Linked DNA regions of Drosophila melanogaster. Changing the gene in region 2 together with the main gene of any one other region gives a genetic interaction. Each region holds a gene or a part of one and is shown on either strand. Other genes may lie near its edges.

Region 1 (7,160 bases), on a different chromosome or scaffold from region 2:
TTTCAAAATGGTTGAACAATTTTGCATAGAGTATTATCGTTAGACGCTGGGCTATAACTTTTCGGTTCTGAGCGTGGATGAAGATGAGATGAAGATAGCAGCGATGAAGTTAAGGAGAGGCAATGCAAATCATAGAAGTATCCCAAAAAAGAAGAACAACCGAACCTACCCGAAAAACTGAAGAACTAACTACCTACCCACAACCACAAATGCAGCCAAGTGGCCAAATTAACTAAGTATTATACCTTAAAGCGAACGATAGATTGAACGAACGGACGAGACGAGATGAGATGAGATGAGATCAGATAGGAGGAGGAACCTTATAGATGACACGGCTTGAGATAGATGTATGTACATTTTGAAGCTCCCCCAACCAGGCTAAGTGTGCCAGAAAACACCAAAAATCGATGAAATGATTAGGAAAAGAATGCTCAAATCAAAATCTTATATTTTACGGTATTACAATGATTAGGAACGATTGAAATGAATTGGAAATGGGGGGTAAAAAAAGAAAACGATACCGACAGAGAGTATCCTGAGATTGAGCTAGGATTTCGAATGATTCGTTTCGTACTTTTACTTGATCCTTTTTTCTTAGCCGATGCGAGCAGATTGTAGCTGTACTCTAAGAATAATTTCACACTAAGATTAAGTAAAAATTTATTGTTGATATTACATAAAAAAAAAAGAAAAGGAAGACGCAGAAGTGAGATGAACACGGTCGCGTAAACCAAATGAATTAGAATTTTTCTCTAATTTCATAAGTCAATGATCATTATGATGATGATATGATACCGAGGGTAACGATGGTAAAGATGAGTTGAAAATGCTTATGATCTCCAATGTCAATATGTGTAGATTGACGCGATTTGAGCTAATTGAGTGAATTGTTATTATAATAATAAATGAAGTGAAATGAATGGATCGGCAGATCGATCGATCGTTTGGGGCGCAGAAGGCCGCGGTGTTAGTAAATATCATTTAAAATAAATGATAAAAATGTCATTATATATACATAGTTTAAACATGGGATTAATAATAATAAATTAAATGAAAAAGAACCGAAGAAACTGGAATGAGAATTAAATAAAAACGAGTAAACACTGAAATACCGAATTTTAAATACATAAGTTTTGAATCATGCATGCTGCAAAGACAAAGCAAAACCCACACAGAAACCGAAACAAAAGTAATAAAATGAACTTCTATATATGAAAAGAGAAAAATATACGAGAGATACAATTTCAACCAGCTTTTGCAATACTTTTCGGAAGCCCTTCCCCCAACGCCTCTTCCAAAAGAAAGACCCCCCCCCATATCAGCAGCAAAAAAAGACTTCAAATCAGAACCTTTTCATTTCTTAGAAGCCAGCAGCGAATTTTGCAGAAATTCCCAATGGCCATTGGAAGTCAAGGCAAATGCGACAAAGCGGATGCCCTGCAGCCATGGCTCTTTGAGCAACAGATACAGATACAGATACATTTGTATCTTGAGCTTCTAATTGAAACATTACACTCGAACTTCAAACGTTGTCGCCCAACACTTTGAGTTGACCCAAATTTGTTAGCATGTTTTCAAGGTAATGCGAATTTGATACTTTCGTTTTCGTTTTTATTTTTCGGCTTACTTTTGGTCTCATTATTAGTTTTTTTTTTGCACAAGTAGTACCAAAAGTTTTTGATTACTGGCCGCCCAGTTCTATGGGAATCTTGCGCAAGTCTGGCCCGGGTAAACTGCAATCATTTCAATCTGCCTCGATTCGGCAGCCCTCCGACTCCCCGCGCCATTGAAGAAAACTGGAAGTTGAACGACGTGCTCGGAAATATTAATAAGCGGAAAAGCTGTCCCCCCAAACGGCAGATGTCAACAATAGATATTTGTGCCAGGCCATTAGCATTAGCCATAGCCACTACCGTTGGAGGAGTAGAACTTCTGCTGGCTGCCAGTCATTGAACTGCAACTGCTGCCAGTTGCTCGGTTGGATCAGACGACACGACGCACAGCAGCAACATGTTGCTGTCGTAGCGCAACATATATTGTTGCTGCTGCTGTAGCTGCTTGAACGGATCGGCTTGTTCTCTCCGGCGATCGAGTTTTTGGTAGCCAGTTTCAGTTAGGTTTTGAGTCTTCGCGCTTGAAGGTGTGCTGCTCGCGTTTTGAGTGTAAGTGCTGCCGCAAATTCCGGCTTATAATTGCAATTGAAGGCACGTCGTCGCTCGTTTTAGTGTGTTTTAAGTCTGTTTTAGTGTTTGCCGTTCAGGGTACTTGACGACTGCCTGTGTGTGTGTGTGTGTACGTTGTTGGTTGTTGAAATCTGCGCAAACGCATGTAATTCGAACCACAGCGATCTATTCATAGATCCGTCTTATCACTTGAGGGCGCCAACCAAGCCGCCGACCTCTGACCCACAAAGCGTTAAAAATCGGAGTCTTAACGATGCTAATGCCAGCCATAAAGCCAGCCAACCAGCCTTGTGCAATGGCCCCCGGTATCAGAGCGATAAGGCTAACCAGTGGCGAGCCACAACTCTAGACCTGCGGATTTGTGTCGACTGGCATATAGAATTAGCCGGAGCTTCAAGCTTCTGCCGAAAATAAAACAAGCCGCTTCTGGCCGATGGTTACGTCAATTTCGATTCGCGTTCGAGTTCTCGTGCAGGTAAATAATACTACCACAAAAGTGGCAAAAGCAGCAGCACCTCAGCAGCAGTCAAGACAACTTTTGTTTAACACCGCTCAAGGAAACAACGCACACGGACCAAGCATAAAATTAAGCGCGATATAAACTGCAGACCTTATGCCCCACGTCTGTGCCCTTCGCCCGGGGTTTACTCCAGACTACTACCACAAAAGAGCTCATGAAATGCGCATAAAGAATCTCCAATTGACTGGGCCGCGGACAACCACGGTGGGAAGCACTGAGAGAAATGTATGCAGGTTTTTTAGGATGTCCAAGAAAAATACACATTATAAAATCTTATTGGATAAATATAGGCCAAATAACAAATCTAATAACGATTTAAATCTGATAAAAGCATAAACAATTGGAATAAGATTCCAAATAGCTCAAAAGAGGAGTTAAGAGCTGACTGATTCTTCTCTTATTCAGTTCTAGTCCTAGATAGCCACACTCTTTTCTCCCAGTGCACAGGGAGTCACAGTTGAACGAGTTGATTTTTAGTTGCCTTTGCTTTGGAGTCCGAGTGCGCGCATTGAATTTTTGATTTAATTCGTCTTCTTCATCTCGAACTCCGGTTCGCGGCTTCTTTTTTTTTTTGGGGTCTTTTGCACAAGGTTATGCGTCCGCTATTGTCAATACCCCCACCGACAAAACTAACTATCATTAAGTCACATAACACATGCCTTTCAAGCGGATCTCAAATTTTGAACCTCAAGTTTGGCAATTGTGCGACAGTTTGATTTTCTGGGTCTCGCGATGGAGAACTAAGCTCATTTGGGCATTAGTTGTTTGCCAGAAGTTGGAAGCCTTCGAAATCGTATTCTATGCCGAGTCAGAATGTTTAAATCCGTAGAGTGATTGCAATCTGTGAGGTTCATCTGTAAGGTCAAGACAGCTGATTGCAGCATTTAGCAAATATTCATGTGTTTATAAAATGTGCAAACAAATATTTCCTGGAATCGCGCCCATGGGCAGTAATATATGTACTATAGGCAAGTATAGACAAGATGCAGTAGTCAAATGTCTCTTTTTCTTTGTTCCATTCACGGCTAGTTTCATTCAGTCACTCTTCCTGCTGTTTTTTGTTTAGTTTTTGCTGCTGGACAAGTTTAGCGACGCCTACATTTTATGGTTCACGTAAATGGTTAACATTTGAGTCTCATCATGGCTGCGTTTGTGTTTTTTTTTTGTCTGGTGCTGCGCTTCAGTGCGTCGGGTCGACAGGTGTGACTCACAAACGTGGCTAACACCCGGCTAACCTCTGTGTTTTTGGCCCATCAAACACGTCGCTCGTTCTGTGATAACGGCTCGAATTAAAAGCTGCCTCGCCAAGCTGTTAGAATGTGTGTATATGTCTGGCTTGGGCCAATTTGTTTGGCTTCCTTGCCGGCCATAATGCTTGGACAGAAAAAAAAAAAAAAAAAAACAAAAACGGCATAACCGGTCCTCTGAAGTGTAGTGGGCCAACTATAGGAAAACGGTTACGAGGCATGCAAAATGTTTTTAGGAAATAATTTGCAAGTCAAAGCGACAGCCGAACCAATTTTGATGGCTATACTTTGTAGCTGCTTTTACGGCCACAGAGCCTGCGGCTAATTGCATCCACTTAAGGTGATCAGAGTGGAGCTACGCAGAGCTCCAGCTCATCATCACCACCAGCTGGTGGCCTCTACCCAAGTCGACTTGGTCGGTTCAAGTTCAGCGCCACTGAAGGTTCATGGCCAATTAGAGCGCGCTTATATTATCGCCCGTTTATGGAGTGGAAAACAAACACGGCGGCCCTGCAATTATTGCTGTTTAGTTAACCCCACTGTATCGCAACTACTGCACTGGCTATAAAATATAAACAAACCACCGAAGTAGCTTGCTGTAAAACTTTCCGGTTTTAGTCTAAGTGAGTAATGAGTTCGGATGGTATAGCGCTGTTTGTACTTGCTTGTCATCAATATGCACATTGCAATCAAGAGTTATCTAGTCACTTGAATAAATTATTGTGGGATAGATATGCCTCATTATTGTTAAATTGCGAATTTTATAAGAGATCGGAATAGGTTGCGTTTGTTTCAATCAATAATATTTTATAGCAAGGGATTATATGGATATGGAATATGGAAACGTTTGCCTAATTCAAGTGTAATCGCTTTAAATTTGCAATATAATATTTCTATTATAATCCTCTATAGATCTAACCTTGAATGCTGAGCGATGCGGTCGTGGCCTGGCCTTTTCTGGCTGCTGACCCTGGCGCTCCTGGCGGATGGAGGTCGTCGCGAGTCCCAGCTCCGGATCGGCAAGGCCATCAATATATTCCTGCGCTATGGCTACCTGGGAATCTCCATGCGTGTGATACCGCTCAATGACAACTCGGAGCCGGATCGCTGGGTGTTTAAGGAGCCCACCAAAAACATCTATAGGGTAAGGGACTTAAGGCAGAGTTAAGCTTACATTTAATAAATTAAATGGCGTTGATGAACTCGGAATTGTTTGTATTAACCTTTAACCACAATCACCATAATTATTTGGAGTATAATCAAAATTTTAAAATAGGGTTTAAAGTTGTTATCACTTAAAACTATTTTTAGTTGTAATTATATTGTTCACTTCCGCCACGTTTGTCGTTAGAATGAGCGCTTATTATATTTGTTTGATCAGATTTAGGAAAACGATCATTATATACGATTATTCAAGTATGTCACTTGATATTTATTACCTGATAATTGAGCTGACTAGACAATTAGATAATTAATGATTTTTTTCTTTCAGAATCTGAGTGGCCTGGCGGAGAGTCATGAAGACACCACGCCCGGAATCTTTCATGGAGACTTTCACATGGAGTTCTGCGAGAATCGGAGGCAACTGTTCCAGGCCTACTTCCGTGACTTTTCCATTGAGCGAATGGACAAACCGTGGGAGGCATTTACTGGCGGATGGTTTCCGGATAATGCGGCCAAGAAGCTGGGCATCAATACATCTTTCATCCAAGGCGATTACTCGTATGTTTTGGTGAGGGTGGTGCGCTTCAGGGAAACGGGGCGTCTTAACGCTGAGATTCCGGTGCACCAACCCTTGGAGCCGGATGTGCGATCGAGAATGGATCAACTGCAAATCGGAAATATAACTTCCGCAGTGCGATTTATGGAAGATGTGGGCACCCACTACGTAAACTCATACACCACCGGCAATTCGCTGTATCAGGTGTTTGTGTACAGCAGGAAGAACTACAGCATGATCAAGGAGCGAATCAAGAGTAAAGGTCTGAACGGACTGTCCAAGTTGGATCTTTACAACTACTTTGCGCCCTGGTTTGCCGCCCATCTGGGCCAGATTCGATCGGCTAGTGCCAATGCTACAGTGGAAAGATGGGCGAGAAGGAAGCTGCAGTACGAGTACTATGTGGTCAAGTATGTGACCCTGCTGAAACTGCACGGTAATAGTACTCTACTGCGATCCCTGGACTCGCTGCTCGGCAACGATGCCATACTGCAGTTGGACCTCAAGTCGCTGAAGCCCATCTTCCGGGAGGAGCCGGAAAAGGAGAGCTGGTACCACGAGGTTCTCGACAACAATGTGAAGCTCTGGGAGCTTAACATGCCGCAGAGTCATCCCACCCGATAGCTGCATTTTAAATATATATATACTGTGCGATATGTGGCAGCCAAGGATCAATAGTTCCTAGATGCTTAGTTGTAGTTAGGAACCTCTAGTGCGTAGTTAATGTTCTGCCTGTGATAGTTTTAGGTAGTTTAATTGGAACACAGTACACATCCGACTTGCATTTCAGCTAACTAGACCGTAAGATCGCCTTATTGATGTAATAGTTTTGTAAACTTTAATACAAAGTAAAGATAAAAGTAAAAATCTTACTGTTTTCATAACTTGATATTGGCTATTAAAATCTAACTGTTTTCATTACGTAATATTGGCTATGAATATCAAATACTATTTTGAAAGTTTATTTTGAATAATTGATTTTGATTAAGAACCGGTAATCGAAACGGGTAAACGGCTCTACCCGTTTCATCAAGGCTTTCAACCAGACTTATTCTAGTTTTCCACCCTTACGTATTTAGTATATGAATCAAGTATATTTTTAATACCGTGTGGTATATTTCAAACGGTTCAGTTACGCTCATACTGAAATCCGAAATAGCACGTGCGGTTTTTGTATTTTGATTTTGATTTTGGGTGATATATACTGGCATGGATATTTTTTCCAATTGTCCGGGCTTTTGCCCCTCCTGCGGCTCCATTCTGCCCGAGCTTCAAGTCAAGGGCAATGTGATTTGCTACAACTGCAAGAAGGAGTTTCAGCCAGATGGTAAATCCAGAAATTACAACTTTGTTTAATTTATTTAACACTTAAAAATAGTTTACAGCGGCGAGAAGTCCGAGTTTACCATACACTTCAACACCTACGATCCCAGCAAGGTGTTCAACAGGACGAAAAGGGAGTCGGAATCGGACGCGGATGGCCCCGTTGT
Region 2 (5,106 bases):
ACATTTCTAGTCCGTATGACTCAACTTTTTACAAGCACTCTTTTACGCCAAATGTACATATGTATTGTATTTAGTACTTCCAGGTACGAACTTTTTCGGAACTTCTTACATCAGCATTAGCCGATTTCTTGGAATCCCCTTGAAAGCATTGTACAGAATGGGAATAGGATAGATTCCAGAAATTCCAGAACAAATAATCCCCAAGTTTTTCGTGTAAGTGGAGGTCGTATATTGCCATCGGTTTTTGGTTTTCGGCTTTTGGGCCCTCAGGCACGTACTGCCCTATGGATCGACCGTTTAATGCTGTTTGCCCCGATGCAGCTGAATCAATTTTACCACGGCTGCATAGCCATGGGCACAAGGGACTCAAGAGCCTCGAAAATAATTTCGTGATAGATTCGTTTTTTTTTTCGGTTGCTGATTTCATTCCACGTTCCCGGGGGGGTATCAACATAGGCATAAATATATGTATGTCCGGAAGACAATAGCTGTATAGATAATTTGAATCGGATAATTATTTTAGGAGTTATGGCTGAGTGACGGCTATCTGATAGTCGAGGCAATCGAAGCGAACTCTATCTATATAGTATTCATACATATGTATGTATACGTACCATCACAATACCCGTAATTTAATTTTCGTGCCGTCTGTAACACTTTCTATTGCTGATAATGACTTTTGGAGCATTTTGCGGGCGTTTTGGAACTTGCACAAAAAACATTTTGTAATTCATGTCTGCGCAAAAACAAATAAAAGAACGAGTCCACGGAAAAATTTACTAAATACACACATAAATATGGCCATTTTTCTCAGTGTGCATGTCAACAATTTCCCAGTCACTTGAGTGCTTGGCCACCCTTCCAGCTCTTTATTTTTTGGACAGTCGGTTAAATGCAATTAACTTGGTTACACTTTCATGCGGGAATAAAATTTTGGTACCGAAATTCGTTCATGGTTTGCTTTTAGTTTTCCATTTTAAGCCGCAATATATTTTGCGTCCAGCGGAAGTGATCACTTTGCCACATTGGCGCTGATAGTCACCGCGTGACTTCATCGGCATTATCATCATCATGTCCATTACCAGCGAACTCATGGAACTCACCTCTGTAAACATAATCGTGAACTCACTTGTTTGGCAAATGTTTGAGAGCGAACCCCGATAAGACACCTAATGCGCCTCGAATTGGTGTAGTTCGATTGTTTTGGTTGCATGATGACACTAAGGTCAGTTGTCATCCATTGTGGTCACGTCGTGAAATTGGTTTTTGCAATAACTAGTAAGGCGCTTGACCAGATTGAGAAATGTGCACGTGTCTATTGTTGTTCAAGAAGTGATTAAAAATGCTTTTAATATTTATCAGTTCGCTTTTAGGGAAACTATACCTACTCGTCAGTCAATGGCATGAGCCCAAACATATTCATGCTGAATCCATTTGGACGCGTAATAGCTACTTCGAAAAGCATTAGACTAAATACCTCCCGATTTGGTCATTTAAGATCTCAAGAGCCAGCTCTGTATCTGCAGAATGGCTAGATTTCCCACATCCGCAGAGTCAGAAGGTCAGCATCGGGCGTGAGACCGGAAAAACCGCTAGGATAAGCCCACGAAAACGAGACATCCTGATACCCAGGAAATAATGAAGCAGGATAATAAGGAGTACCAGAAACGAGATACTGTGGGTTTCGAATCTGTTATCCAAATTTTCTGGGCTGTATACATTTCGCTGGCTTCCTTTCAATTTAATTTGCATTAAGAAACAAGTTTCGCAGCGCAAAGTAATAATGGGTTATTCGATGGGCATTATAAAACACACATAAACGTTAAATAAAAATACATACAATCCACTTACTTTTGCTGTTTTATATCCCAAAACAAAGATGCCGAAGAAGGTGCGCTGCTTTTGCTTTTAGTTGCTTCTTCTTTGTCTTTTCCCCACTTTTGTTTTTCTTTGATTGTGGGTTAATATCAAGTTGTTGTAAAAATAAATTAGCATACAAATAAATAATAAACACCACAAATTGGCTCGTTTTGAATTTCGATTTGATGGCGGTTGAGCTTAATTTTTTGTTTGGTTTATTAAGAATTTTATATGTATGTGTTGATTGGCTTGCTGGTAAGAGCCAGTTCAAACTTGTAAGATACTAAATTTTTTTCAGTTGCTTAAAGTTTTCCCGTCGCTGGCTGCCTTTCATTTTTCGCTGCAGTTGTTAGGCTCATTAGGACAACACGGTTTTGTATTCGATTTTGTTGATTTATCTATTTTATTTCTCCAACTGTATCACATGTATTATCATATAATTCACAAAGACTTTTGCGCACACGAAAAAAAAACACACTACAACAAATCGACTTCAAAAGGTATCAATGGTAACATCCTGTTTGGGAAAAACGAAAGAGAATTATTTTGTATGCAACATTGAGTGCAATTCAAAAATAATGCCTACATGTGCACCGAAAATAGCTTAAGATTGTGAAATATTGTAGATATTTAATATATATCATTGTGAAATAACGTTAACTAAATATTTATAACTCAAAGCTAAGCTTCAAATTATGGTTGGTACTAGTATTTTAAAGTTGATCTCGGGTTTTTCAGTAGGCGAATCTATATGTACGGCGCACATATATTTTTAAGATTATAAATTATCGGACGCCTGTTGCTGTAAAGACAACAACAAGTACAACGACAACTGTTTCACAATGTAGTATAAACACAAAAGCGTAGTATATTTATACATGCCTCGTAGTATGTATTTTATTTTATTCTACTTTATTTTCACTTCGTTCGTTCTCTCTTTCCTGTTTCCTTTTACAGATAAGCATTCGAATGTTTTTTTGTTTTGTTTTAGTTTAGGTTCTTGTTCAAATTCAAATTAAAATCGGGTCAAATTTAGATAAAATAAAAGCACACGAAGAAACGTTTTTAAGGGACACAATCAGAAGATATTTATGTATATTACAAATTTATATTCCCATGTTACTATTTGCTTTTAAGTTATATGCGCCACGTTTTGACCGATTGCACATGTCTCTTAAATATCGAATTTATGTTACAAATTCAATCGAAATGATAGTGTTACTTTACTTTTTTCATTTGCTACTATTGTTGGTGATTTTTATCCGCTTTCTTCCCCCCTCATTTCTTTTAAGTTTTTTTTTTTGAAGAGACTGTAGCGGGCGGACAAGAGAACACGCACCGTTACCGATCACGTTCACAGTTGTTTTTTGAATGAGAAGCGGCTTCGAAACGTGTCGTCGCAGGCGTCGACGTCGGCGCCGCAGTCGCTGCGACAGACAGAGAGTGGTCAGATATAAATATACATGTACTGTATATATGTATATGTACGCGCGTTCGACAATGATCTTAGCCGAGAGAAAAGAGCCGATGCGCGGCATTAGGGAACTCTTTTCAAAGAGCGCGCTGAAGCCGCGCTCAGTTTTCATTGCTCTTAAGTTGCAACTGCACAAAGAAATCATTTTGCTGTTTTGATCGTGCATTGTTTTGAGTATGTATGTCATTAATTTAAAACAAGAGAGAACGCTATAGTCGAGTTCCCCGACTATCAGATACCCGTTATTCAGCAAGTCCAAGTGGGACGAGACTTTTCAACATTTTTCACGAACATTAGTAGAAATTGGTGGGAAAAAATTAATTTTAATTCTCTAAGGTCTGGGCAGGATATATTGGGCGGTTTAAGATAGCATATCTTCGGCATATCTATAAATTGGAAAAACAACTGGTTTAATACAAAAAAATTAAATCATTTCTCAAAAGTGTGGGAGTGTCAGTTTTGGTGCATTAGAGTGGGAATTTTTATCATATCGATAAAAATTAACAAGAGTCATAGAAATATGGAAAACTATCAAAACATTATGCAAAGGTGTGAGCGTGGCAGTTTTGGGAGGTTTGTGGGCGTGGCATCATGGGGAACAAACTTTCGCTGCGTCTAATGTCTCTAGAATCTAGCTTTTATATTTTCTGATATCTCGACGTTCATACGGACGGACAGACAGACGGACATGACCAGTTCGACTGGTCCTGATTGATCCTGATCACGATACATATATACACATGTACATATACAAGTACATGTACATATACATATACATATATGGTTGAAAACGCTTCCTTCTCCCTGTTACATTCTTTTTAACGAATCTAGTATACCCTTTTACTCTTCTCGACAATTCTCTTTTCTTTTTTGTTTTTCCCATACATGATTAACATTTTCTTCTGTTATGTTCTCTTGTTCTCAATTAGGGAGATGCTCTCTTTTGGCCGCCTGCAAAGGATGATTAATGATGTTCTCTGCTTTTAATTTTTTCTGAATGCTGCTAGTTGTTCAATTTAAAAAGGCAGTACGGCTCTTCCTGGTAATTTTCCGTTGGCTGTTTGTTTCTATTTACATATGTACTATGTATGTATGTATGTACCTTATTAAATAAAATTTTTATTTTCAATTTTGTCCGAGTTCGGTAGACCCCTACAGACACTACTAACATTCGGAAATATGTAAGGCTAACTGGAGTGGCCGGCTTAATAAAAATATCTCGGAAAAGCTGGAAAGTCGGAGATGGATTTCCTCGAAACCTAATTGAAGTTGATAGCAGTCATGGTTTTGTTCCCCGTCATCATCATTGGGCACTGAATCGCAAATCGCACTTCTTGGTAATTTTAGCCGCCACTTGAGCCTGTGCCGGTGTTTAGGCCAACATAATGGCCAATTAAGGCCACTTTGTCGTTTACAGCGTTTCAATTTCGATTTGATTAAGGTGAATTCCCTTTATTTTTTATGCAGTGATTCCGGCTAAAATTCATGAATAAAAGCAATTTTATGTAGATGATATAGATCATTACTTTAAAAAATAAATTTACAGAGTTAGCTTAGGGAACTAAAAATGACCACAACTAAACTAAGGGTATTTTGCCAAGTGTACGAATTGGGATCATCCCCATTTCCCTATTCTCTCATTCTTCGCCGTCTTCCCTTCGTATGGACTTATCGATGCGATGGTCAAGTGTGCGGGGCTCGTCTTCGGTCATTCGCCCAAAAACTAAAAATCGAAGAAACAAAAGTTAAACAAATAAGAAAAAATACCGAAA
Region 3 (5,205 bases), on a different chromosome or scaffold from region 2:
TACCCCGTTCGATCAGATAATGCAGTTAATTTTCAATTTTCCCTTTTTTTTTTGCCCGCACTGAGTTCGATTTATTGTGCGCGTCGTGGGGACAACATGTTTAATTAACGAACACAATGAAGGAGAGTCGCAACAACAGGAGTTTGTCACCGACTTTCGGTGAAATTTCTGACTCTCTGGTGACATTTGAAAAGTTTAAAATAATATAATTTTCGACGCTATATGGCAAACTAACAAGTTCGACCCGGAAGCTCAGCGATGGGCGCTGGCAACTGAGCGATGTGGGTATTTTCGGGGCGTTTGTCTTAGCTAACTTTCCGCCCGGGAAAGGAGAAACTTTTTCGGCTGCACTGTTGCACCCACCCACACACACACACCCATACACACTCTTACTCACACACACGAAGATCTATTGTAAAATATGTAAGAAAGTTTCCTTGGCCTGGGTGGGAAAACGCTGCGTTTTCGGGAAAGCAGCAGCAGCATCGACGTTGTCTTTGGGGAAATTAAACATTTTCTATTTGAAAACTTTGCCGTGTGTGGGGGGCGGGGGGTGTAACGGCATTTGAAGCGGTGGATTTTCCAAAGGTTCAAGAGCAACAGTTGCCTTTTGAACTGTTTCGGGTCGGTCACACTTTGGCACTGCGCTGGATTCCCTTTGTTCCACCCAACAATTGCGGAAGTCATAATTTCTCAGCCGGCCAAGTTTCTGGTTTTTTGACAAATTTAGCTGCAAATTGTCGGCAAAACTTTAGTTCCAGCTTAAAACTGGAATGGGTCTCCAGTCCCGTGCCTTCGGATCCAAATGTCAAGCGGCTTGCTGTCATAGGTGTTGCATATTTAATGCGCCGCCGCCGATGGCAACACACGCGGCACAGCAGCGCTGAGGAGCAGCTGCATCCCCAGCACGGCGATTCGGACAAGTGCACCCAGAGTGCATGCAAATATTTTTGTCAACGATTGTTTTGCCGGCTCCCTCGATTCCGAGTGGCGAGCTGTGACTGCGGGGGCGGGCGGGAAAAGTCCGGGAAAAGCGGGTCAGGGAAAAGGGAGCGAGGACGAGGACAGTGGTAACCCATGTTTTTGTTGTTGCCAACGGTTTGAGTAATTGTCGCTGGTGTGAAAATTGGCAACGATGCCATCGAGCTGGAAAAGGATTTACTGGGTTATGTATGAGCCAAAGGCTGATTGAGATGGAGGAGCAGCTGGATCGAGCTGGAAATGGCCATCGATGGACGTCTATGGCGTTAGCGATGTTGCCAAAACTGAAATATTCATTAGGCCAGCAAAAAAAACCAATTGAGGTCATTTGAAAAGTGGCCTTGCTTAGCAAATCTGTTGAATATTATAAAATGGTGAGAAAGGCACTTGCTTTTAACATAATTAATCCTTTTTTTTCAAGCATAACAGTTTAACAAAAGATCATGAATAGTACGCGAATATATCCCATTAACTAAATTAATTAAAGCCTCGTATAAAGCGAGCAAGCTTTCCTGATTTTGCGTAAATAAAATCAATTAAATAGAGCTAAAAAAAGCACACCCAAACAATATTTGACAAAAGAAAACGTAGATCCAGGGGCAAATTGAAAACACGATTCAGCCCGCCGAAAAAACCCAATAAAATGGTAATAAAAAACCCAGCAACCAAAAATGATTTTCACATTGATAAAAATTAAATGCGATTCGGGGCGAAAGCAATGCGATGTGTTGCATCTGCTGGGACATTATCAAATAATTCAGTTGTAATCCATTTTAATCCGCCTGCCTGGCTGCGAAACCGACCCACTTGACATGGCGAATCATCAAAATGTTTGTTTACTTGCCCCATGCCCCATGCCCCTTGCCCCTCGCCAGCTCTCTCCTGCCACTTTCCTCCATGAAAGTATTTATTTCGACATTTTGCTAAACATTGCCCAGATTTAAATCTGCATTCATGTAAAATTGCATAAATACATGCAAATATCGCTTGATGGAAATGTCCAGCTATATTTCAGTCACCCACGTTTTTTTTACTCTGCAGGAATTATTCAAATATTTAAGCGGCTTAGTGTAATGGCTGGTGAGTTTTGTCTCAAATCGGAGGACGGGTACAAAGCCGCTCTAAGCGAAAAGAATCGATGCGGCTGCTTAAATTATACTTTATAATTTGGGCATATATGTGGATTACCCCAATTGGCAATTGAACGTATAATAGTTCGGTTTTATATTCAATCGATTGCGCACAGGGCGTATTTATCATTCAAAATGTTTCAAATGCCAATATGGATTGTAATACATTGTAATACATATTCTTCTTACATTACAAAATAGATTCTTCGAAAGGTAGATAAGAAGAGTATTCCAAAGCTATTCCGTTTAATTAACAAAGAATCCCATAAAAAGAGGAGCACGCCCTTCACGAAAGTCAGTTAAAGAGAATGTTAGCCCCACTAATCCTCCTGCAGATTGTGGCTCTGCCTTGGTTGGCTCTCGGAGATCAGCGGATCATAAACGGAAACACTGTCAACATTAAGGATGCACCGTGGTATGCCTCCATCATAGTCAATTCGAAGCTCAAGTGCGGTGGTGCCATTATCTCGAAGAACTACATCCTGACTGCCGCCAAGTGTGTGGATGGCTACAGCGCCAGGAGCATACAAGTCAGGTTGGGAACCAGCAGCTGCGGCACTAGTGGATCAATTGCTGGAATCTGTAAGGTCAAAGTTCATAGCCAGTACTCCAGCTGGCGCTTTGACAATAACTTGGCTCTCTTGAAAACCTGCGAGCTACTCAACACCACCGATGAAATAAAGCCAATTGAGAGGGCCGACAAAGTGCCGGATGATAATTCTCGAGCCAATGTGACTGGCTGTGGTGGCAGATCAGGCAATTTCCTTGACCTTATCTTAGACTTAGAGGATTAGCAGCGGAATAGAAGAGAAGTGCTTCCAGCTGCCTGTCCAATTGCACGGCACTCAAGTGCGGATCCTTAGCCAAAAACAGTGCGCCGCCGACTGGAAAGTCATACCATTTTACTTACTCAAGGGAATCTCAGACCTGACCATCTGCACCAAGTCGCCGGGCAAGGGAGCCTGCTCCACAGACAGGGGTTCGCCTCTGGTCATCGACAACAAGCTCGTGGGCATCCTCTCCAGAGCGGGCTGCTCCATTAAGCCCGATGTCTATGCAAATATCCTGGGGCACACGAACTGGCTGGACTCGAATACGAAGGATTAATATCTTACTTGCTGTGAATAGTTTAATGATAATATTACCTTGCCTTCTGTAGATCTATATTTGAATTTGTAAAGCACAGAATAAAGAACATTGCACAATGGCTTAAAGTGAGAAAAATTTTAACACACCGTAAAGTAAAACAAATTAATTTGCTATGCTTTGTGCCAATACTATAAAATTTAAACAGCCTGCTATATGCACATTTATTTGGCATCATGCTTCTGCGATCTCTACCAATTTTCCTTGCACTCTTTGTCCTTTCCAAAAGTGACACGGGTGCAGGTGAAGATTCGGAAGAGGACGACGAAAACGACTGCAACCGGACGACTCTTGGTGGTCATCCCGTGAACATAACCACAGCGCCATGGATTGCTTCCATTTCGATCAAACAAAAGGCCAAGTGCGACGGAGCGATATACAAACTGAGTCACATTGTGACAGCCGGGAAATGTGTGGATGGATTCCTGAACAAGGTGATCCGTGTACGAGTGGGTAGCACTACGCGCAGCGATGGAGTCATCGAAGTAGCAGTCTGCAACATTACAGTTCACGAAAAGTTCACCGGCCAGACAGTATTTCACAATGTGGCCATATTAAAGTTGTGCGAACCGCTCGAGGCCTCCAAAACGATCCAGCCAATTCAGTTGGCCAACCAGCTTCCGTCTAATGGGGCAAAGGTCACGGCCAACGGGTGGCCCTCCTTCAGGTGGTGGGCAATGTATTGGAAGAAGTGTCTGGATGATGAAGCCTACAAGCTGCAGAAGGCCGAGGTGAAGCTACTTGGCCCTAGCCAGTGCACAGATCTGTGGGCGCGAAACAATTGGTCCAAAAAGAATTTTACAGATGACTTGTTCTGCACCGAGAAGTTCGCTAAGGAAGCCTGCTCTTTAGCGATGGGATCACCTGTGGTCCACAATGGCAAACTGGTCGGCATTATAACGAAAGGCGGCTGTTCGGAGTATCCAGAAGTCTATATCAATCTTATAAAGTACAAGGACTGGCTGCATAATCATACAAAGTAAACTTAAGCGTTCTCCCAATTAATTGTTAAAAAATACTTTGCCTTCGAGCTATGACTATGTGCAGATTAGTGCAAGTAATACGCAATACTTCCTATTTTGATAGAGCTTCGAAGTAAAGCCATCACTCAATTTGAGGTATGACTTTGCAGATAAGGAGCTCTAGCCTTGAAAACGACTTAACTTTTCCTATAAAAAGAGTCGCACATGCAGCTCTAAAAATCAGTTGTTTATAATGATTTGGAGTGTGTTCTTATTTCTGTTGGCTGCTCTTTTACGGCCGGTTCGTGGTGATCTGGATGCCCAAAGCCGCATCATTGGAGGTTATGATGTGGATATTGAAGATGCCCCGTACCAGGCGGAAGTAATAATAGATGGCACAGCAATATGCAGTGGGGCGATCATCACATCAGACACCATCATCACAGCAGCTTCGTGTGTCCAGTCCTACGGTTCAATTGAAGTACGCGTGGGCACCAGTTCCCGCGATTATGATGGAACTGGATTCCTGCTCGAAGTCTGTGAAATAATTAATCACCCGCAGTACAATTGCTGGCGTTTCGATAACAATCTGGCACTGTTGAAGTTGTGCGATCCGCTCAAGACCTCCGAAGCTATTCAGCCCATCAGCATAGCAGAGGATGAACCGGACGATGGTTCGTGGTGCACTGTCTCCGGCTGGGGATCCACCAGTTGGTGGGGCAGCTGGTGGGACAGGTGCTTCGGCAGTCTGCCGGACTATCTGCAGATGGCATGGGTCAGCGTCTACAATCGGGAGCAGTGCGCCGCGGATCGCGGTGTTTGGTTCGGACTCTGGGACAATGGCATCTCGTACCTTACCCTCTGCACTCATAATGGCGCCGGAGGATGCTCCTACGATACGGGAGCTCCCTTGGTGATAGATGGACAACTCGTGGGCATTCTATCCGAAGGCGGCTGCACCACCAAACCAGATGTCTACGCCAATG
Region 4 (5,288 bases), on a different chromosome or scaffold from region 2:
TTGATTTCGGCCCGAAAATCGTCTTCTAGCACAACACGCACACATATACGCGTTCCCGTCTCTTGTTTTTACTCACACAAGCAAGCAAATTCTATTTTTAGATTTCTTACGTTCTCAGCGTGAGCGAGCGGAAAGAGAGCAATTTTGGCCGTCACCAAAAAAGTGGCTGCATAGTGCCAAACCAATGTATGGCCGTTACGCATCTTGTTATTCTAGTGTCTTTGCTCAAACTGTAGGGCAATAACTTGTACGTTCGGTAGTGGCTTGAACATGATCCAATTTGGCTTAATAATCTGGTAACTGTGCATTAAGAGTGCCCATTCGGAGAGTTCTCTTTTCTTTGAGGTATAGCTTTGGATATCCTTGCAGCTAAGCAGAGTCAAAAGGGCTGATGGTGTAAGTCTCATCTCTTGGGCGGCTTTGTCAGCGAGTTTGTCAGTTGTCAGCGAGTCCGTGGATTCCTTGATGATTGGGAACCCAGAGTAAGGTGACCACAAAAGTGGTTGAGTCGTTGACTTTAGAACCATTGGTATTAATTCAGTTTTTCTTTTTCTTTCTTTTTTTTCAGCTTTGTAGATCTGAAGGCTGTTTGAAACCCCAATGTGCATAGGCAGGGTGAGGTCAAGTTGCTTGATGTAGTCAGCGCAACGTGTTAGAGTGGATATGCATTAAAAATTCAGCTTTTGCTTGAAAATGGCTCCGAAGTCATGGGTTAGCAGGCAGTTGGACGTGGTGTACAGCTTCGAGATTAGCATCAATGTAGTTTCTTCTACGCGGAATTCCGCCAAGTTATCCAACCCATAATATAAACTCTGCCCATTTGATAAGCAAATTTCACACTCCAATCTCAACAGCATTGCCTTTGCCCTTGTTTTTGTCGCCAACACTTAGCCTGCTTTTGTCCTTGTATTGTCGCCAACACTTAGCCTGCCGCAGATTGGAAGACGGTAGTCAATTTTAAATAGCATTAATGCGTGCGTAATCGTAATATCTATGAGAGTCTTAGTTATATGTACGAATATTTAGATGATAGAAATTTAATAATGTGAAATCTAGTTTCCAGTTGTTTTCTTTGAATCTGACAGTGCTGTTTGAAAAGTAGTTTGCAGTCGAAGGTCATCCCCAAATTTTTTAAAAAGTTTACATCATTTATTGTGCGGAGAGATTACAACGTTTTTTCCGTCAAATTATAATAGTTGGCATTTTTCAATGGCAGAGAGGTATTTTCGTGCAATATTTCTAAAAATTTTGTGCTGACTGTATGAATATTTTTTATTTTTGTAAAGTGAGATGTAAATATATTTTTGCCGAGTTACAATGTTATTTATTTCTTCAATTGCAATCATAAATAAAACCGCAGAAATTGGCGAACCTTGCGGAATTACATTGTGTAAAATGTTTGAATTCGATGTGACATTGTTTATTCGAACCCTGGTAGTTCCGCCGTCCAGGGCGGCCATGCTGCACCCCGGGCTATAAGACGGATGCAAAGTACAGTACGCTGTCATCAAGTCTGATCACCGCTTCCGAAATAAAGCCTTCTGCCCAGCTCTCTTAAACAATATTAAGCTTAGCTTTAATTAGTTGACAGCCTTACAAAGAATCTAAACGAATTCCAAAAATCTTAAACACAGGTGGCGAGCACGCAAAACGGAATAAATATTTATTTATTTATTTCTCTATGTAAGCTAATGGCCATGATATTAAGATTAAGATATAAAAATATTTTTTGAATCTTACCTAGCTTTAGTGTATTGGATCAACCTAATATCGAAATAAAACAGAATGCGAATTAAACCAATCAATGCTACTGTATCCATAGCAAAAGTTAAAAATGTTTTTTTTTTTTTAATTTTCATCCCATACAGGTCATCCTATAAGGGAACGTGCCCTCTCCAAAAGTCACTTCATTAAAATAAAGTTTTAATTTTAAAGAAATATTCTACAACCAATTTTTTTATTAATGTTATTGTAACTGATTTGTTTTGTTCCCAATTAAAGAATAATATTTTCTTCTCATTTTCTTTTTATCTTATATGCTTTAAAATTTAAAATTAAATTATAAATTACATTCCTGGTAAACCCGATATAATAATTTGTTTTTAATAATTCTTTACACTAAAGAGCTGGACCTGTTGCTTATAATATTGTCAAATTGGTTCACATATGGAACCAATTTCACCGAAAAACTGATCTGTGGGAACATGGTATAACAAAGTTGACACGAATGTTTATGTTTTATATACAGGCAAAAATTATTATCACCGCTGTTGTTTGCTCCATATATAATTACAATTATATTCCTAAAGAAACGTAAATGTAATGGCTGAGAGTGTCATAACCTAATAACGATCACGTTCAGTGTCTTATTGGTGTGAACTTTATTCCGGAATTTGTGTTGCGTTTAAGTCTGATGCCATGTAGAAATAATGGTTATGGCTTTCAGATGGCAACATCGCCTTTTAATCTAATATGAGGCCTACAATTAGAATATGCAGAATTCAAAAAGTGTTTGTTTATAAATTAAAGCGAAAGCAAGACGATGAGCATCTGCTGTTAGTGTGGGGAGTGTTTGACGTATTGGTGTTCGTGTGTGTATATAGAAAGTGCGAGCATCAGGCGTTGGCTTGCCAGCGATGTCTGGCATTACATTGACCAAATTAACTCAAGAACGAATTTCCATTCCAAACAACAATGTCATCACGAACGGCGTCGAAAACAACATAGATAGTGACACGCTTAGTGGTACTCTGACTCATCTTATGGAAGAGCATCGCACGCGGGTGGGAGCGGTAACTGGACCAGAAGCAGCGACCACGTCTACAGACGGCCTAATATCGAATGGAGCAGAGCGACTGCGACTTCAGGGCAGTCGGCTTCAGACCTCGCGCTTTGCTTGCTTTCGATGTTGCGGAAATATTATCACATATCTAGTAAGGCTGCGTAGTACCCCTGAGGAACTGGAGCAGCGCTACAAGTCCAAAGAGATTGATAAGTTCCTGGAAAAAGAAAAACACACCTTTCGACGTCAGGTAAGGTGATTTAGGGATATCGATTTCTAACCCTTGCTGTTGGTTATTTTATTTAAATGTTAACAACGAAGTAAAGGAGATATTCGACAAATTAAAGTCTATGTACAATGGCGGAAAAATTATAATGTGTTTAAAATGTAATTTCTGTACAATGTTATAAGCATATATTTAATTTAAAAAGTTACGTTTTTTTGCTAACAATTCTAGAATTATACGTATGTGTTCTTAATTAACAGGACTAGGCAAGTCGGTCGAGTAGTATATATGTACATACATACATACATACATACAACAAGCGCTATATATTTGTAACCGAAAAATATAAAAACAAGAGAAATCCTATAGTTGTGAGCTCCGCAAGTATAAGATACACGCTACTTAGGTAATGGAAGACTTCCTACTTCTTGAGGCCCGTCCCGTCTCGAGCACGAAACCTAGTCCCAAAAAAAGCCCGGGGCCCTGCCCAAGCTAAACACGAACAAATTAAAAAATAAAAACAATGCAATTTTTTTTAATTTAAAGTATGTCGGTTTTCTTATATTTATATTTCTTATATTTTGTAAACAAAGTTGATTGCAAAAAACTTAATATTTAGTACAGTTTTGGTGTTTTAAACATAATTTATGACAAGTTTTTATTTAAAAATATTTTTTTTTTTAAATTAGAACATTTTAAACGTGTACATCGCTCATTTAATACAATTCCAGAGGTAGAAAATAATCTTTTGCTATTCGCTGAGCTTGCCGGAATGGCAATTCAATAACTTGAGTTCACTACATTTCCAAAATTCTAACACATTTTGGTCTGAAGTAGCTGCACAGCCATTTAAATATTTTTCTATTTCAATATCATAAGAATTTAGTTGTAACTAAGTTTTTTTGAAAAATTTTTAATCCTGAAATTCTGCAAACAGTCCTAACCCCTTTTTATCTGGGCTTGCAGTTCTTAATCCTATAAAACTCCTCATCACTTTGCATTTCTGAAAGCATTGCTTTGACAGTTACAATTACATTCTCCTTAACTTTTGGCGATAAGCAACACATTTCCTTAACGGGAGAATTTAAGAAGAGTCCAACATAATGTGCCGTTTATGGTGCACATCTTTTATGTAAAGAATTTAACGTATTATTTTTCAGCTGAATTATGGTTTCAGAATCGAGCATTTCACTGGCGCACATCTTTAATACTTTCTCCGATCACAAACAAAATAGATTTATCGATATTAGAATCCAAACTGTATTCTTCCATAATTTCCTTAACGTTATTGAGGATGTTCTCGCCTGTTAGATTGTGACAAACAAGTTTAACTTTCGGTTCTGCCTGCGGGCTTTTTTCTTAGGGCACGAAAGACGAATTTGAGGCCCGAACCCAATTTTTTTGGCAAAGGCCCGCGGGCCTTGAAATAAAGCCCGGCCCGCGCTGCATCATCATTTAAAAAACATTATAATGGTCCACATTACAAAATTTTTGCCAGGCACAGTCTATCAAATACTTTTGCAAAACGGACTTAATTGTTATAGGCATTTTTTAAAATAAATCTCCATTCAAGAACAACATTTTGTTTTTTATAAGCATGCAGAGTTTTTTTCAATGACTTGTTCAAGGGTAATAGTTTCTTGTTCACAGAAAGGGTAAGGAGTTTACTTTGGGTGAGTCAGGGAATGTTTTTAAATGTCTTGTTTTTGAAAAAACAATTGAAGATATTTCATGGAATTTCTTCACCGGCCCCAACCAGGTCTAATTTTCTACTTTGACGTGTTAGTCGATTTTTCTCGGAAACGAACAAGGTTTTAGACCGATAATTCGGTTATGAGCATAACACAAACTTTTGCACATATATTTTGTTAATCCATTCATAAAACAAATTAACAATATAAATCTTGCTCCATCTCTTATATTTCGTGCAATGGAAAGAAGAGGTTTGGACAAGAGGCTAGTTTGATTAGAAACGGTCGGACAAGCATGAATATTTCGATTCGCTTGTTCATATTGATGAATAATATACATATGTACACTGCGCCTCACCAGGTTAGCGCACCTTGAGTAAAAATCTTTGATGTGAGACATTTAGAAAACTGCTTAAGCGAAAGTTTTTGAAATTTTTTCCCTTAAAAGTTGTAAAATTTCATAAATGAAAAGTTTATATGGGATGCAGTTTGTTGTTTATAGATTTTTGTTGAAATAAAAAAGAAAAACAAAAACACCAGAAAAAAAACATCAGGATAGCGCCCCTATGACAATTTAGGTTTTTTTTTA

What was found.
Region 1: of fog (region 2) and tsl, changing one suppresses a phenotype caused by changing the other (phenotypic suppression), as found in Drosophila melanogaster (one study listed by BioGRID).
Region 3: of fog (region 2) and twi, changing one suppresses a phenotype caused by changing the other (phenotypic suppression), as found in Drosophila melanogaster (one study listed by BioGRID).
Region 4: of fog (region 2) and cta, changing one suppresses a phenotype caused by changing the other (phenotypic suppression), as found in Drosophila melanogaster (one study listed by BioGRID).

The regions. Positions count from the first base shown.
Region 1 is NT_033777.3:21,777,486-21,784,645, reverse strand, and holds tsl (torso-like), read left to right. Parts: upstream 1-2,109; 5' UTR 2,110-2,162; exon of another isoform or gene 2,163-2,658; intron 2,659-2,740; exon of another isoform or gene 2,741-2,928; intron 2,929-4,862; 5' UTR 4,863-4,884; coding exon 4,885-5,094; intron 5,095-5,442; coding exon 5,443-6,294; 3' UTR 6,295-6,532; downstream 6,533-7,160. Other genes in the region: Polr1H (RNA polymerase I subunit H), read left to right, coding at 6,880-6,997, 7,049-7,160.
Region 2 is NC_004354.4:22,851,956-22,857,061, forward strand, and holds the start of fog (folded gastrulation), read right to left. Parts: upstream 3,240-5,106; 5' UTR 3,088-3,239; exon of another isoform or gene 1,852-3,087; intron 1-1,851. UniProt on the Drosophila melanogaster protein: Coordinates cell shape changes during formation of the ventral furrow and invagination of the posterior midgut primordium, by inducing apical constriction of cells in spatially and temporally defined manners.
Region 3 is NT_033778.4:22,983,543-22,988,747, reverse strand, and holds the start of twi (twist), read right to left. Parts: upstream 3,375-5,205; 5' UTR 3,257-3,374; exon of another isoform or gene 3,219-3,256; coding exon of another isoform or gene 2,420-3,218; exon of another isoform or gene 2,199-2,419; intron 1-2,198. Other genes in the region: CG32833 (uncharacterized protein), read left to right, coding at 3,434-4,240; CG32834 (uncharacterized protein), read left to right, coding at 4,473-5,205. UniProt on the Drosophila melanogaster protein: Involved in the establishment and dorsoventral patterning of germ layers in the embryo.
Region 4 is NT_033779.5:22,979,562-22,984,849, forward strand, and holds the start of cta (concertina), read left to right. Parts: upstream 1-2,254; 5' UTR 2,255-2,636; coding exon 2,637-3,032; intron 3,033-5,288. UniProt on the Drosophila melanogaster protein: May play a role in a signal transduction pathway used during gastrulation. Required specifically for the ventral furrow and posterior midgut invaginations, where it is necessary for coordinating cell shape changes.